2 linked regions of the Lonchura striata genome follow. The protein of the gene in region 2 purifies or fractionates together with the protein of the main gene of each other region. This does not show direct contact. Links are inferred from orthologs where the notes say so. Each region holds a gene or a part of one and is shown on either strand. Other genes may lie near its edges.

The links. The genes of interacting proteins can lie anywhere in the genome.
Region 1: the proteins of SNAP23 (region 2) and VAMP2 purify together in Homo sapiens (affinity purification with western blotting; 4 studies listed by BioGRID and IntAct, with this or other methods). This does not show direct contact. The link is inferred for Lonchura striata from reciprocal best matches to the Homo sapiens genes SNAP23 and VAMP2.

The regions. Positions count from the first base shown.
Region 1 is NC_134612.1:2,059,692-2,067,117, reverse strand, and holds the start of VAMP2 (vesicle-associated membrane protein 2), read right to left. Parts: upstream 3,207-7,426; 5' UTR 2,986-3,206; coding exon 2,984-2,985; intron 1-2,983. UniProt on the Homo sapiens protein: Involved in the targeting and/or fusion of transport vesicles to their target membrane. Major SNARE protein of synaptic vesicles which mediates fusion of synaptic vesicles to release neurotransmitters.
Region 2 is NC_134608.1:36,271,263-36,279,407, forward strand, and holds the start of SNAP23 (synaptosomal-associated protein 23), read right to left. Parts: upstream 3,081-8,145; 5' UTR 2,942-3,080; intron 2,565-2,941; exon of another isoform or gene 2,457-2,564; intron 1-2,456. UniProt on the Homo sapiens protein: Essential component of the high affinity receptor for the general membrane fusion machinery and an important regulator of transport vesicle docking and fusion.

The DNA of each region.
Region 1 (7,426 bases), on a different chromosome or scaffold from region 2:
TTATAAAATTATGCCCACAAAAGCAGGCCTAAGTACTGCTCCACAAACAACAGGAGACAATAGTCACGACATTCTTCTCAGGGAAACTGAACAGGCATTCAGCCAGAACAGACTCACTGCTACTGCTGGAACCTTTTAATCCCACCCATCACCTCCTTGCTGCTTTAAAACAGGCACAAGGACAATTGTTTTAAGAAGCTCTAGCTGCTGCCTGGGGAATGGATTGGATTTTGCCCTGGGGGCAGCCAGGTGCTTTGCTGGTGTCTCACAGAAGGTGTCCCTGCAGTGGAGCCCTTGGTCCTGGATTGATGCAGAGGCACCCTGCAGCCTGGCCACTGAGCTGGCTGGACAGCAGATGACATGATGCCTTGAGCTGCTATTGTATGGAATTAGCCACTGAGCTGTGACCATTGTAAACCAGACAAAACCACCACTTCACCTGCTGCTCTTGGCCTGTTTTCCAGCAAGGAACAAAGCTCAGGAGCAACTCAACTCTGAGCACCATTTTGTCCTTCACTGCTTCTCACATCTCCTCCAAATGAGTTTGTATGTTGTATGCTCTTCCTCACACCTGGAAAATCTCTCCCAGCTCTGCTGGCAGGTCTAATCTTTCTCTGTTCTTGCTTTAAATACCTTTTATGTCCTTCTCCTTTCATTCAGCCTTTTGATGTTACAGCTTCCCCTCCTCTGCCTGCGTAAAGGCAAAAGTTCTGTTTCCAGAATGGATCTCACCTGCCCAGGGTTGTGCTCACTGTGAGAGGCCACGGGGACAGATTCCCACCTGATGTGGATCATACGGGTCTGCTGGGGTGATACACGACCATGGGTCACAGAAAACATGGTGAATAAGGAACACTGTTCTCTGGTTTTCACTACAAGAGTGAGATCAGGCAGAACCTGCTCCAGGTCAGCCCAAACCAACAGGGAGCTGCTTCCACACGCTGTATGGTCCAACTGCAGAGCTCCTCACCCAGGACACTACAAACTGAGCACCTGGACACCTTACGAGAGAACAAAGCCCACAGGAGACATGAAATACTGAGAACTCTCCTGAGGTTCAGACACTCCCCAAGCTGGAGACCTTTTCCTAAGCTGGAAATTGGGAAAGTATTCTGGGAATACCTTGGTATTCTGGGAATACCCTGTACCCTTCCCTGAGCAAACCCTGCAAGCTGCTGCAGGGGACAGCACCCGGGGATGGGTGGGGCTGGCACCTGGCCCAGGGCAGATCTTCATCCCAGCAGTGAAGTCACAGCACCCTGAGTGTCAGTGCAGGTCTGGACAGGCAGAGGATGAGCCCAGCACTCCCACAGGTGGCACAGCAGGAGAAGGAACCTCCAGAGAGCATCTGGTGCTCACCAGCAGCTGGCTCTGACAGCCAGGCAAATCCAGCTGCTGCTGCAGGGCAGGAGCTCACCCACACTCACCTCTGCGCTTCAGCAGCAGCTCAGCAGCTGCTGGGACAAGACATCCATGGAGTTGTTCAAAGGAAAGGTTTCATTACAACATCTGGCAGTGAAACAGAAGCCAACTGACACTGCCAAAGACAAGGTGGTTTGTCTTGATTTTCTTTCGATTATCAAACTCCATGTCCATTTGGCTAAATTAGACAAAAACTGCTCTCCCATTTTCCTCTAATTTTTGTCAGCAGACTGATGTAAAGCCCTACAGAAGAAGTATGACCAAGTTATATCAGTATCACCCTTTCTACTTCATGAAAACCTACATACACCAAGACTGAAACACACATGGGTTAAGTTAAACATCATCTGATTATTGCTTAGTGTCAGAACAGCTCCGATTGTGTAGAACTGCAGCAGCAAACTCATATATTAATCATTGAAGAACAGCTCACGTACAAAGAGAAGTGTTTGATGTCATCATCTGGCTCAACAGAAACACAGCTAGGCAACAGGAGCCTACAATGAACTGCCTTTAACTGACAGGCTTTGGTGTTTGCATAAGGAATCTTCTATTAGAAAGTTGCCTTTTTGAATTCCAAGGAGTTCCTTGCTTTAGAAATATTTTGGACAGCACGAACAAAAGCTTCTTGTCTGAGATACTATATAGGAAACAGCATTAAAGACAAAAGCTAATATGTGATTGCAGACTCTATTTTGAAAATGCCTCCTGAGGAACAGTTGGTTATTGGAAATATTTTTAAAGCAATTTATTCACAGATTTCCAAGACAGTCTGCACTGCTCATGTTCTCTGAATCAACCAAGCTCCAGTTCTTACAGGATCACCCAGTACCAGCACAAATGACTGTCTCAGACATCTCCCCGGGCTCTCCCTTAAGGGTCACCGGGAATGAGCAATGAATTGAGGCAATAGTAAAATGATGCATTCAGCTGCCTGAATCCTTTTGTGAATGAAGAAGGGTCTGATCAATTCCTATTTACCTCAGCACACTCTTGGTTTCGGAATGGACTTTGGGGGTTCATCGCTGCCTAGCAGGGAATGTTAATGCTTCCATTAATGCTCCATGTAAAAAACTCGGAGCAGGTATTTGGAGAGATGGGAACAAGAAGGAACAGATTATTATCAAGCACTGCTGACAGGAAGCCATTGGCACCGGAGAAGGTGAGGCTGGACTGATCAGACAGCCACCGTCTGCGAGAGAACATTTCATTAAACACGGAAAACAAACAGGACCCGCTTGCCGTGGAGCAGCAGCGCTGGGTGACTCATGCAATTGAACCACCCTGACTCGAACCTGTTGAAGATCTTGGCCCAGCCTTCCCTTTTCAGCACGAATCCGACTAGAGACGTGTCGGTAACCCCCGGGCCGCTGGATAAACACGGCGGGAGCCCACCCGTGCGCTCAGGTGCGGCAGCGGGTCCGACGGGCGGTGCTGCCGCAGCTCCGGCTCCTGCCGAGCCCCCGCCCTGGCAGCCGCGCCCGCCCCCGTGCCCGTGCCCCCCCCCGCGGCACAAGGGCCCCCGAGAGCCGCAGGTGCTCCGCAGCCCTCCGGTACTCACATGGCGAGCGGGGGGCGAGCGGCCGCGCCGGCTCCCTCTCCAGCAAAGATGGCTTTCGGCTCCGCGCCCGCTGCCAGCCGGCTCCTACTGTTGCAGGCACTGTTGTTGGGAGAGGAGGGGTAGGCACCGGCTACTGAGCATGCCTGCGCCTCGCATCAGCGGCTGGGAGCCGAGGCGAGGCTCGGAGCGCCCTGCACGCCCTCCCGGCCGCGGAGCGCCCCGAGCCCGCGGGGGCAGCGCCGGGCCCCGCGCTGGGCGCGGCCACCGCAGCGCTCGCTCGGCCGGCACCTGCGGGCCAGGGGGGAGCCGCGGGGTGTTGCCTTAACAACCTTCCTGCTGCCCCTCCTCGCTAGGAAGAAACGTTTTTTAAAGGAGGAGAATGACGGAAGGTGCTGCCGTTCGATCCCACGCTGCCGTGCGTGTCGTTTCATCCACTTGTGGATGAAAACCCACGGAGCAAATCCAGAGACAGATAAGCTACCAGATCAAGCACTGATTCTGGAAAGGTTATGTCTCAGAGGAAGTACAGCCCTTGCTTCTGGTTTAGATGTCACCTCACATTCGCCCTCAATCCAGGCATCCAGCCTCACCCTCCGTGAATATCAGCACCCCCCTGCGTGCCCCATTCCCCTGTGCAGAACTGAAACTCTGCAACAGCACGTCTTCCTCTGCATGCAAACCAAGGCCTTCACGTACTCTGAACAGAGGTGAAGGAATAAGAAAGTCTGCGTGGTTTTTTAAGAAGTGGTATTTAACACTGCTGCCCCAATGATACCTTGTTCATTTGTGAAAAGATGCTTCACCTGTCACTGCCTTCACTAATTTTCCATGGGTGTCAGTGGCAGCCAGCCCTGGCCTTTCCAACCAGGTATTTGGGTAAGGCAAGTACCTAGCAAGCTTTGCTAGGTACCTAGACCTCAAATCTTGGGGTGCCTGTTGGGAATAAAGTGCAACAGTGTCATCAGATCAAATCTGTGCTTTCTGATGTGGAAATCTAAGAAAAGGTGAATTGTTCCTCAAAGCAATAGGCAAAAGCACCCCAGTTACTGGGAGTGAGGAAGGCATCAATGCAAATTTCTTAGCTTGTTATCAGCCAGCTGAGTATTTTCATGCAGAATGTAGCCAGGGAATGTGACAGCACCCACAGCCCAGACACCAGGACACCCAGCTCCTGCCCAGATCTGGGCTCAGGTGTTATCACAGCCTGGCTCAGATGTAAGCCATGGGCTGTCAGCTCTGAAGGGATCCAGCTCTCTGGGGAAGTATGGAACTCCTCAGAGTGACACTCACAGGAACCTCTCCCTTCTCTTCTGCTGCCTGAGAGCTTGTTCACTGCATTAAAGACTCCTCATACCTCCTGCCACTGCATTCTGTCTCTTCTGCTGGAGCCAATTGTCTGCATGAATGAATAAATACCACTTGGACATTTTGGGCACCACTTCGAGCCTTAGGTTTTTCAATCATAGATCACACTCATGAGAGCCTGGCCATAGAAACCTTTCCTGATGGAAGTAAAAAACACTTCAAACTGTATTTTCTCTATGTGAAGATAGAGTTTCAACCAATTGGCACGCCCTGATGACAATCAGGAGATGCCCAACTTTATCCACCCACAGATTACTTAGCTCAGCAATTCTCATCTGGAATTCCTCCTTCCTTCTGTGCCGAGGAGAGTTTACTTTTCAGCTATCCTAGACAAAGATACATTCATGTCATATATTATATATATGATTGTTTGTATGATATATTTACGTGATTATTTGTGTGATGCCACAGCAGCACCCACACTCAGGCCAGCACCAAACACAGGCACAACCTGATACCAGGAGCATTCTCACCTTCATCTTTAAACACAAGCCACACCTGAATATTGAGAAAGTAACAAGTCATTCCTGACTTGTGAGGTCAGGAGCTTCTGGGACAGAGACGTCTTCCACCAGACCTTTCTGCCCATTCTGTGGTCTCACTTCCACCCATGCAGGGTGGAACAAGTGCTGGTGCTAGACCAAAGCTCACAAGTCTCCAAAAAAAACCAAAACCAAAACCAACCAAACAAAAAAAACTCCCCCCCCCCAAAAAAAAAAAAAACCTGGAAGACTCCAAATCCAACATATTGAAAAGTTTTATTATACAAACTATCCAGAGCAAATGAAGCAAATGATAGTGTTTGTGCTGACCCCATGCCACCTTTATCCCTATTGAAGGGGAACAGAAAATATCCACACAAGCATAAAGGTGAAATGGCAGTCAGGAAACTTAGAAATCAGAAATTAGCAGAAGCATTCCACTACAGGGAAAACACCTCAGACCTTGTGAGCACAGTGCAGAATCAGCTAAAGCTACCCCAGTGCCCCAGATCATCTGGCTGTGGCTTCCTCCAGAGTGGTAACAGAGAGGTCTCTAAACCAGATTAAACAACATCATTGCACTGTAGCTGCTAAAAATAGAATTTCGTACCAGCTAATGAAGGCATCACCATTCCAATCCAAGAAGGCTCACAATCCTGAGGAAAAGCCACAGCTGATCTGGGGGACATTTCCTATAGCCCTACATTCCCTGAAGCTTGCAGATTGCCATTAAAGGCCACCAAACCCTTTGGTGTTAGAAGAGATGCAGAGACACCCTGTGGTGGCAAAACTAGTATGACCAGAATGAGTCCAAACAGCTTAAATGTCATTTAAGTCACAGAACTGAATCAGAAAATCTGCATCCTGGTGACACAGAGAAATTGTCCCCCCGTTGCTATCCAAATAGTTTCTCTGGAACTCCTCTCCTGTCTGGCATCTTTTGCTCTGTCTGTTTGCACTGCCACAGAGATTTTCCCTCTTGTTCTGTTTGGTGTAACAACAACAGCAGGATCAGGGCTGGTGCAGTTGGAGGCTATGAAAATGCTCCACTTTTGGAAAATAACTTCCTACATCTTCATCCCGCCCCTCTTGGGTATTGAAAACAATCAGTCTGCTTTGTAAACTCTTGGGGTTTTATCCCGTCCATAATTTGTATTTTATCCTGAAGCAAAATTTTGTTTATGAAGGCAGTTTCAGAGCCACCAATACACTGCTGAGGATGTTCCAGAATGAAAGCCAACCAGCCACCATCATAAGTGGAAATCAATTCTGGCACCTGGAGTCTTGCAGGTGCTATAATTTGCTTATAATTATCTAGGGGCAACCTGGAGATAGAAGACTGAGGCTCCTGAAAATCTTATATACTGCTGTTACATGATCTTCACCTGAGGGAAATGTATTTTCTCGTGGATCTGCAAGTAGGATCCCCACACAGAGGAGTCATCATGTAGTCCACAGCTTTATAGAGTACCCATACAATAGAGTAAATCTCAGGGCCAGCCACAGTAACACCAGTACTGGTTACTTTGGCTCACAAAACAAAACACTGTTAGTGCCAAATAAGAAGGCTGAGAGCAGTTAATTGGTTTATAGAAAGTAATGGTAATTAAGTTTCACAAGATTTAAGCAGAAAAGAAAAGCAAGGCAAATAAATCAATTATTCAAATGCTGCATTTTCAAATCTTCTGATCTGGCAGTGCATTTAAACAAAGTATAGGAGGAATTCCCCCTAAATCTCCAGAACTTATGCCACTGGAAATTCATCATAGCCAGACAAATTAATCCTTAAAAGAGAAATTAAACACTAGACATGTGCAAAGTACATTTTTCTCAGAAACTATTGCTCGAAAGGATTAAGAAAATATCTGTTCTATGTATCTTCAATCCTTTGTCAGTTCTACATGTTTATTTTAAGTAGTTTGTTTTCTTCTCTTGACTTTTTAGAAAAGTGGAATTGGTACTGAACGAGCCAGCCTTTGCAGCTCACTTCTCAGAAGCAAGGCAGATGCCTGCCTGCCCAGTTGCTGCCTCTATTAGCCACAGGTGGTCTGTTCTGCAGAGCTTCACTTCAGCACCACTGCTTGCCGAAAATGGGTCTTGCATTTGCAGATTATTTTGTCGCAAATTAAAACCTCAATCTGTATTTGTGGGGTGTGTAATTTCCTTTCACTCACAACTTCTATTAATTTCTTCACAGCATATTAGTGCTTTAGTGACCATTTCCTTTTACAGGTCAGTAAAGCATTTGTAATTCCTCTCAAAAATTGTCTTTTCTGCCATTTCTCTGAGAGATCCAGGTCCAGCTTACCTGGGTTCTGTTAAAACCCTGAGTAGTTCATTAGCAAGCCTGAGTAGCAAGGTGTGATGCTCTGTGCTCCTTCAAAGGATTTACAGTTCTTGTTAAAGTATATTATTGGATAATTTTGAAAACTTTGCAGGTATGATCCTACCAAGCATTTGCACAGTGAGGCCCACTCCCTCCTGCCTGTGTGTGTCCCTGTGGTAAAAACTGGGTACAGGGAACTCTGCTTAAAAGTCTGTGAGGGGCTGAGGAGGGAGAAGAGTAAAAGAAGAAAAGTTAAAAATTGTTGCCAAT
Region 2 (8,145 bases):
CACTCAGTTTCCAATGCAAACAAAGTTCAAAAGCCATTACAACACTGACTTTGCACAGAATTTTCAAGTTTTCTTCAATACCAATAATCTTCTGGGACTTTTATATAAAAAGGCACATTTATATATATATAAGGCACTTCCATGGTAATGAAAGCTCTAGTAGGCAAGTTACATGACCTAAATATACTCTTCTTCAGCATTTAGCTGAGAAGCAATTCTAATGCTTATTTTCTCTAAGAAAAAAGAAAACTTAATTCCTTGCTTTATGACAGTCACAGCACATTAAGGCTGTGCTGTCCAAAGTACTCAAAACCCTTACTGATATTTATAAATTTAAGTTAACTGCAGGGTGCCACAAGGCCTGATAAAGTGCTTGTTCAACTCCAATTACACTATCCACATTTGGACAGGGAAAGGCTAACAAAAGTGACAAGTTTCCTAAAGCCAGACAGGTCTACTTGCACCAGATCAATATTGTTTTGATTGCTGGCACTTTCACAAACCCACCCTGAATAAGATTTTTGTTCTGCATCTCTGGCTAACAAGCAGTAGTTTTGTACCTCTGACAGGCTGAATACCTTTCAGAATTTTCAATGCAATTCAGAAATGGCTATATCAATTACATTTGCTACAGACTATAAATTACTTCCTTACCATCTGAAGGTCCTCTGTTTGCACCTATCCCTTTGCCTGTGAAGTTATGCTTTTAATCAATATCACAAACTTCCTCCTTCACTGATAACTTGTAAACTGGGGGAGAAGGAAACAGCCTATCCAGTGCATCTACAAGTAGGATTGAGAAATACAGTCTATGCCTTCTTACCACAAAGATAGGAACTAGCTGGTGGCACAACCCAGCTGTTGCAGCAACTGACTGGAAGCCACTATCTCATGAGCTGCATTTTTAGCTGTCAGTAAATTGGTGCAGCCTCAGGTGATTGTGGATGCTCTCAGTTCCTTCTCTTGTAAAGGGAGCTGTTGCCTTCCCCAAAAGATTGAAAAAATAATGAAACAATATTCTTAGATATGTAAATGTCAAGTATTAATTTCCTGTGCATGCTTACAAAGATCAAAATTAGATCGTTACAGAAAACTTAGTTTTTTAAAACCCTTCCTTAACACAAACAACCATCCCACTTGCTAGTTAGCTGAAATTCAGCCCAGCTAATGCAGGCACAAGGTATCGGCACCAGAATGTACTCCTCCAGATGATTATGGCTACAAGAAAAATGAATAAAGCATCTGTGGCCCTGGAGGAAGAGGCCAGGGCCCACGACCAAGACACTACTCGGCGTGCTTCCTGCTTTCCCTTATCAGCTTCCTGAACACACTGCACAAAGGCGATAGCACAAAGAATAGGCGCTACCAATGCCACCTCCTCTGTGCAGTTCAGTTCTACACTCACATCAACAACTCATTTTTGCCCCTGAAAAAGCCTCATGAAACCTCCTCCAGATCAGAATCTGGCCAATAGAAATTCACAGTCAAACTTGGATCCATTTAATGACAGCAAGAGATTCCATTTCTCCTAAAGACACAAACTACTATAGATTCCATTTCTCCTAAAGACACAAACTACTATATAATAACCTACTTCAAAAACTGCAGAGCAGAGGAGGGCAGGCACATAGACTAGCTACTAGACTGCCAGTAAGCAATTAAGTGCTCAATTAGATCAATCAAGCAAGCAATTGATAACAGAAGTGGCTTTTCCTTTGTCCCTAAACAGCTGTTCCCTCTACAGCACAGAATCATGTTTGTTTATGAAGAGGAAGTAAAACAGCACCCTTAGCTCTAAACACTGAGCATCCAGTACCCTTTCTAAGAGAACAAAAAAGAAAAGTTAGGCAAATAGAGAAGTTGCATAAAGAAATTTCCGAAGTTCCTTTAGGTTTACTTAGAGTGTCAAGTCATGTGCTGACTTCACATTAACTGAAACAGAAAGAGAAAAAAGGGAAAAAAAGCGAAAAATAAAGCTGACTCATTAGGAGCTTCCCAGAAGGACCAAGGGCATTGAGACGTACAAGTGAAAGAAGCACAAGAAGCACTTCGATTCTTATTGTTTACTACATTGACACTACAGCATTTTACAGATTAGTCTAAAGGCAGCAGACACAACACATAAGCTTAATAAGAAGCAACAAGAGGTGGGTTTTCTCCTGGACGCTACTAACAGCGCAATTCACGGGCTCTCGCCAAGCAATCAAAAACCACCTGGACACGGCACTGCCGCCCCCGGTATGGGCGAGCCCACGAGGCCTCCCCGCACACAGCTGAGGCGGGGGCTCGGAGGGCCCGGGCCCGGATCCCGGCCGCCCCATTACCCAGCACAGCCGACATAGGACGGCAACCGCACCGGGCCAGGCCCGCCTCGCCCCACAGCGGCCCCCGGCAGCCGCAGGGCGCCAGGCGGCGCGGAGGAGGACGGGACCGGAACGGACAGCCTGACACCTTACCTGGGGCGCCGCAAGCTGCCACAGCCCAACCCGTCACACACCCACCGCCGCTCCCTCGCGCCGGGCCGGGCCGCCCCCTTAAGCTCGCATGTCCCGCCCGTCCCCGCCGCCCCCGGAAGCGGCGCCCGCCCCGCCCCGCCCCGCTCACCGCCGCTCCCAGTGCGGCGGAGGAACGCGCCGCCCGCAGCGCCCTCACACGGCGGCGGGCGGGAACGGCGGCCTGCCCACCCGGCATGGCGGCGCGCGGGGCTGCCCTGCCTGCTGCCCTGCCCCTCGGGTGTCAGTGCCGGCTGGGCAGTGCCCGCGGTCCGCCCGTGCCGACCGCAGCTGCGGCAGCAAACAGTGCAGTCAAGAAGCGGCCTTATTTGTATCGGTGGGGTTTTTCTCCAGTTACTATTCTCTACTAGGACGATGAGTGTCAGTCCCCTTCTGTCACCAGTGGAGAGGAGGGCAGAAAGGGAAAGCTGCTGTTCGCAATCACCGACCTCATCCTTTTCAGCTGAACCGCGCAGCCTTTCCTGAGGTATATTCCTTCTCAGGTGTGGATAAGTTCTTCTCAGAGGTTGGTGTCACATCCCGCACCTGCTGTAGGACTGTAAGCACTGTAAACGCAGCCGGTAGTTTTCACAGCATCAGCTTACGTGGCTCCTAAAGTCCCCTCTTCCAGTGAAACTGCTGCTGAGCTCTCAGAACTCGGTCTTGGTTTCCCTTGTCTCTCTCAGCATCTGGGGGGAGTTTGGCCTCGTGAAAGGTCCCAGTGGAGTAAGGCTTACCGCACACTGCACAGCCCGCGCCCTTCCCCTCCTGCCTTAAGAACTGTCCCTGGAGCACATTTCCCAGGGGCAGCCGCCCTGCCCAGCGTGATGTCCACAGCGTCTCGCTGCTGAGATACCCGCCGTCTGCAGCGTCTGATTTGTAGAGCGGTAACACGTAGCACTAAGCGTGTTTAAAGCGCTGTATTTACACACAACAACAATAACCTCTATTACCATTATCTGCTGGTGAATGCCCCCAGCCGGCCGGTGCTGGTGCCCCCGCCATTAAGTTGGTTCGCCTGTCGGCTGTCCACGGCGGTCGGGACTGCATTTCCCGGCAGGCCCCGCGGGCACGCAGGCGTGCCGCCCAGCGTGCAGCGCGGCCCCTTCCCGCCGGCCCATTGGTGGCCGCGCCGTGCCCCGCCGAACCGCGCGGTGCTGCGGGCCGGGCCCGGTGCGCGCCGTGCCGGCACCGCTCCCGGGCGGCGGTGGCCGGGCCTCCTCGGCCCCACGGGGGAATGGGCTGCCGGGCTGCTGCCCTGCAGAGGGGTGGGATCCGTGAGTACCGGGGCTGTGCGGGGCAGAGGGCTTGGGGAGAGCGGTGGTGGCCGGGGGCGATGGGGGTTGCTGCGGCTCCGGCGGAGTGGGCGGCCTGTGGAGGGCGGCAGGGCGAGCCCGGCCGAGAGGGGCTGCGGCAGCGGCATCTCGCCTTGGGGCGGGCATGCGCTGTGCTTTGCCTCGTGAGCATCCCCTACTGCTGTTGTGATCCTGGACTTTGATGCCCTGCTGTAGAACAGGGGCGTTAGGGCGGAGGCGTCTCTGTGCCAGGTGTGTAGCTGCCCTAATGCCTCTTCATACTTGCCAGAAGTGTTTCCGGGGATGAAGTGTGACTGAATATAGGTTGTTTAGCTGCCTTCCTCATAAGCAAATATCTAAAAATGTGTTGTAGTGAAATCATGTATCAGTTTAGTGATAAATATCTGGTAACTTTAAAGGAATGGGACTGACAGCGTGAAACAAGTCATAATAGTATGATGAAATATGGGGTGTTTAAAAGTAATCCTTCATCATTGCACACAGGGTGGTTCAAATCCAAACGTACATAAAGAACTGCTTGGGTGTGCATATGGATGTCAGTTTGTAAAAGTTTATGAAATATTGGATACAAGTGACATAAATTATTGAAGTTCATTCTTCAGTATACTTCATTGATGGTTAAAGTTCATGCTTCAGTATAGATGGAGGTTTGGTAATAATCTTCTCATGCAGGTAAAAACCTTCTTTCTCACCTTCCCTTCTACACCTGATGAACTTTAAAGAACAGATAGGTTCTGAGGTGGTGTGTCCTAAGAGAGAATAGAATTGAGAATTTATGGACTTTGTTTTCAACATGAATTTCCAGGCTTACATGTCCTACATCTCTGTTGCTTATTGCTGTTCTTCAGTTATTTGCTACTTCTTTCAGTTAAACCTTAATTACTGCATTTAACAAATTGGCTGTTTTGCTGAACTGACAAATCCTGGCCTAAAAAAAACCCCAAATACTTAAGCCTTCCAAAAATTTATTAATAGCTTTGCTGAAGTTTAGAAGCTTATTCCCATTAGCATTGCAGTATTTGGGATTACTACTGCAAGTTCTAAGGGCCAATGCAATGTGTCTCTGTAACTTTTTACCTTGGAAAATAGATTTCTATCCTGAAGTAGCTCCTGTTAAAAACAACTGAATTGTGTTTTGTTTTTTTTTAAAGTCCTTGCTCGATTTCAGCTGAACTGGCAGTAAAAGGCAGCTGCACTTGCACTACTTGATGTGTTCCACTAATGACTGATTTTTGTATGTAAAGTTAGCTAAATAGGTGCTATACTCTGGCATTTTCAGTTTGGAGAAAGACATTGGTTTTACCCAAATTTTGTTCGCATGTTACCTAAGTCTGTTTGGTCACTGTGACCAGACTTCAGGCAGCTTCTATTCCCTATGTTCAAAAATATCACATATGTGAAGAGATGTCAGCTAAAGACATTTTAATTCCTGCAGAACTGTCAATCCAGTACAGAGTAACAGCAGTCCTCTAAATGCATACCTAAATTGTATACAGAGATACAACTTGTAGTATCTAGGTAAATCTATCAATTTTCTTTCCATCTTATCTTGAAAAAACTAATAAGATATCCAGAATAAAATGTAAATTTGTTCAGGATCAAATTTAAAATGTTGAAGTTTTTTTTTAGCATGTGGTAATCCTCCTCTGTGAACTCTGCCACCAGATGGTGTCATAAGATTTGAGGTGTTATCTGGCTCAAGTTGAGTCTAGCAAAGTAAAAGGATACTATACCTTACAAGTAACTTCTTTGTTTTTATAAAGCTATGTTTTATATTTGTAATGTAAGGTTTTTGAGTTTCTTTCATCAAGTCCCAGAATATTTTACATTTTGATCTTATTGTGGTAGAGCTGCTGGTGTTCAGCCCTGAGATAAACTACATTACAGAGATATACTAATTTAGGCAGAGCCCTGTATTTCTATTACCTGGTCATTAATGACTACTATCTTAGTATTTGAAATCCTTAACTTGAGTTTTCTTGGCATGAAAGCTGTTTATACTGAAAAGTGACTTGAGTACCTTGGTTTGAATGTTTCAAATCACCCTCCAGTGATTCTTCATACTCTGTAATGACAATATAAATAGAAGAAGCCAAATTACTTACTGAATGCTCTCCCTGCTTGTTCTCTTGTGTCTATACAGATCTTTTGTGGGGAGTCTGAGTTATTTTGACAAGGCCAGGTATCTGTTACTGTGGAACTGCAATAGATAGGATACATAGAGTAATCTGTTTTGATGTGGCTTTTGATCCTTGTTTTTAACTTATTAGTGAAAGAGACATTGTATGAATACCTAGGAAGGATATGATGAGCTTAAATAGCCTAGGAAAGGGGAAAAATTATACAACTTAATGTTACAGAAGTAAGTGTAAAATTAAGTGTTGGGTATTTCTGTCATTCTTACAAGGTCTGTAAAGTGAAGACCCTTTATAAAGTGACTCAAGGTTACCAGAATAAGTTGATGAGAATTCTTTTGTAAGTCACAGTAGTATTTAAATTATTAGATTTAAATGTTTAAATCTAAAATTTAATTGGGTTGTTTTTTGCCACATCTTGTGGATCACTATGTTGCTTCTTAGTAAGAGTTTGTCTCAGGCATTATGAATTGTGTTTGAGGCTGTAGTAGTAGTAGGGATACACAGACAACTCCCTTCTCCTAAGGGTGCACATAGGGATGTTAGCTGAAGTGCTACATCTGTTTTTGAACAATCCTTTTAAGTGCTTTGGGCAGTTTGGAAAGGGGAATAGCTATTTTAATAAGCTCAGGAAATGTGATGTTTGAGGAGAACATCTGGAGAAAACAAAACTTTCATATGCCTTAAACCAAATAGGGAGTATGGGAGAAGACAGAAGCTTTCCAGGTGTGTGGATTTTACATGTTCTAAGTGACAGCATACAGCAATAATGCTGTACAGTTCTTCATTCCAGTTTGGACAGAATAGATTCCTGAATCTTCTGGTGTGTGAGAAGCTCTCATGAGAAAGATAGAAGGCATTTAGTTTTACTAGAGAGAAATTATCATCTTGATTTACAGCAAGGAAAACTTACTTTGTATATTAAGAAATTATTAGCATTCCTTATGTATAGGAGTTGGAAAGATGCAGTTTGGTTGTGGCTTAAAGTGTATATCTGGTCTGTGCTCTGTTCTGAGACTTACGTGAAATAAAAATAGAAGTCAGTGAAAACTCTGTTCCTGCCAGGTGTTCTGTGCCTCTGCTGGTCTGTTTAAGATATTTCTCTGTGGTGCCCTTATCTCCAGTAGACTTTCCCTGTATGTTGTAAAAATCCCAGCCATACTTATGAGATAGCACTCATTTTCTGCTAGATGTTTTCTAAGCCAGGTAGTGAAGTAAATGTTATTGCTTTTAACAGGAGCTTAAAGAACTTTGATCTGTGAAATAACTCTTTTTTTCCTGGCTTGATGTCAAAACAGTTGAGCACTTGTCTGCCCAATTAAACATTTGCTGTGTAGTGGTGCTGCTTCAGTGCTCAGGGGTCTAGACTACCCTTAGATTGTCACATGGATAAAATTAAATCTTGGAAAGCAGGGAGAAATTTACCTTTAAAGCTTTGTACTCTGGTACAAGTATTTTAACTTCTGGAGTGTGATACAGTTTTCTCCTTTGCCCTGTAAAAATAAGAAACCAACTACAAAGTAGTTTGTACAGTGCCTGACAGTGTGCTGGGGGAGAATCATGTTGTTAGTCATGACTTAACTTTAGTAAATCCTTAAGTTTTCGTTTTTTGCCTGGGTTTAGGTTGCACAGATCAACATCTCAGAAGGAAAGTTAGTGCCTCACACATGTGCTCAGAAGGAGGGTTAAGGTAATTAGTAGACGTTATGGTCTGGCGGGGATGTGTAGTAAATTCAGATGCTTGAAGGGCAACAAATCTTGGAAGGGAAGATAATCTCTGAATGATGGTGCTTTATTCCATGTAAATTCTGCAGGAGGTGATGAAATTGGAACATAGGGCTCTGTACTATTACTGTTACTATTCTACAGTTCAGCTGATGTGCGTGCAATTGGTTGCTGCAGGAGAGAAGTCACTGAGGCACTAGGAGTGACATCTCTGCAAGGAGCTGAGCATGTTGCTGCAGAAAATTCTGCACAGTGATTTTGTAGCCTCCTGTTCTTCTCAAGTGTTGAGTTTCCACTGTTCTCTGTAGGGGCATGCAGCATTTAGGCAGGCTTTTGGACAGGCCAGTGCTGCTGATCTCTTTGAAGCCTTCTGAGGATTTCTAGGCAGCTGGAATGCCAGGCTGCATACCCCACTCCATGGCACTCGTGGCTTTATATAGTCGGAATGTTCAGCCACTCATCTGTAGCAGATTTAAT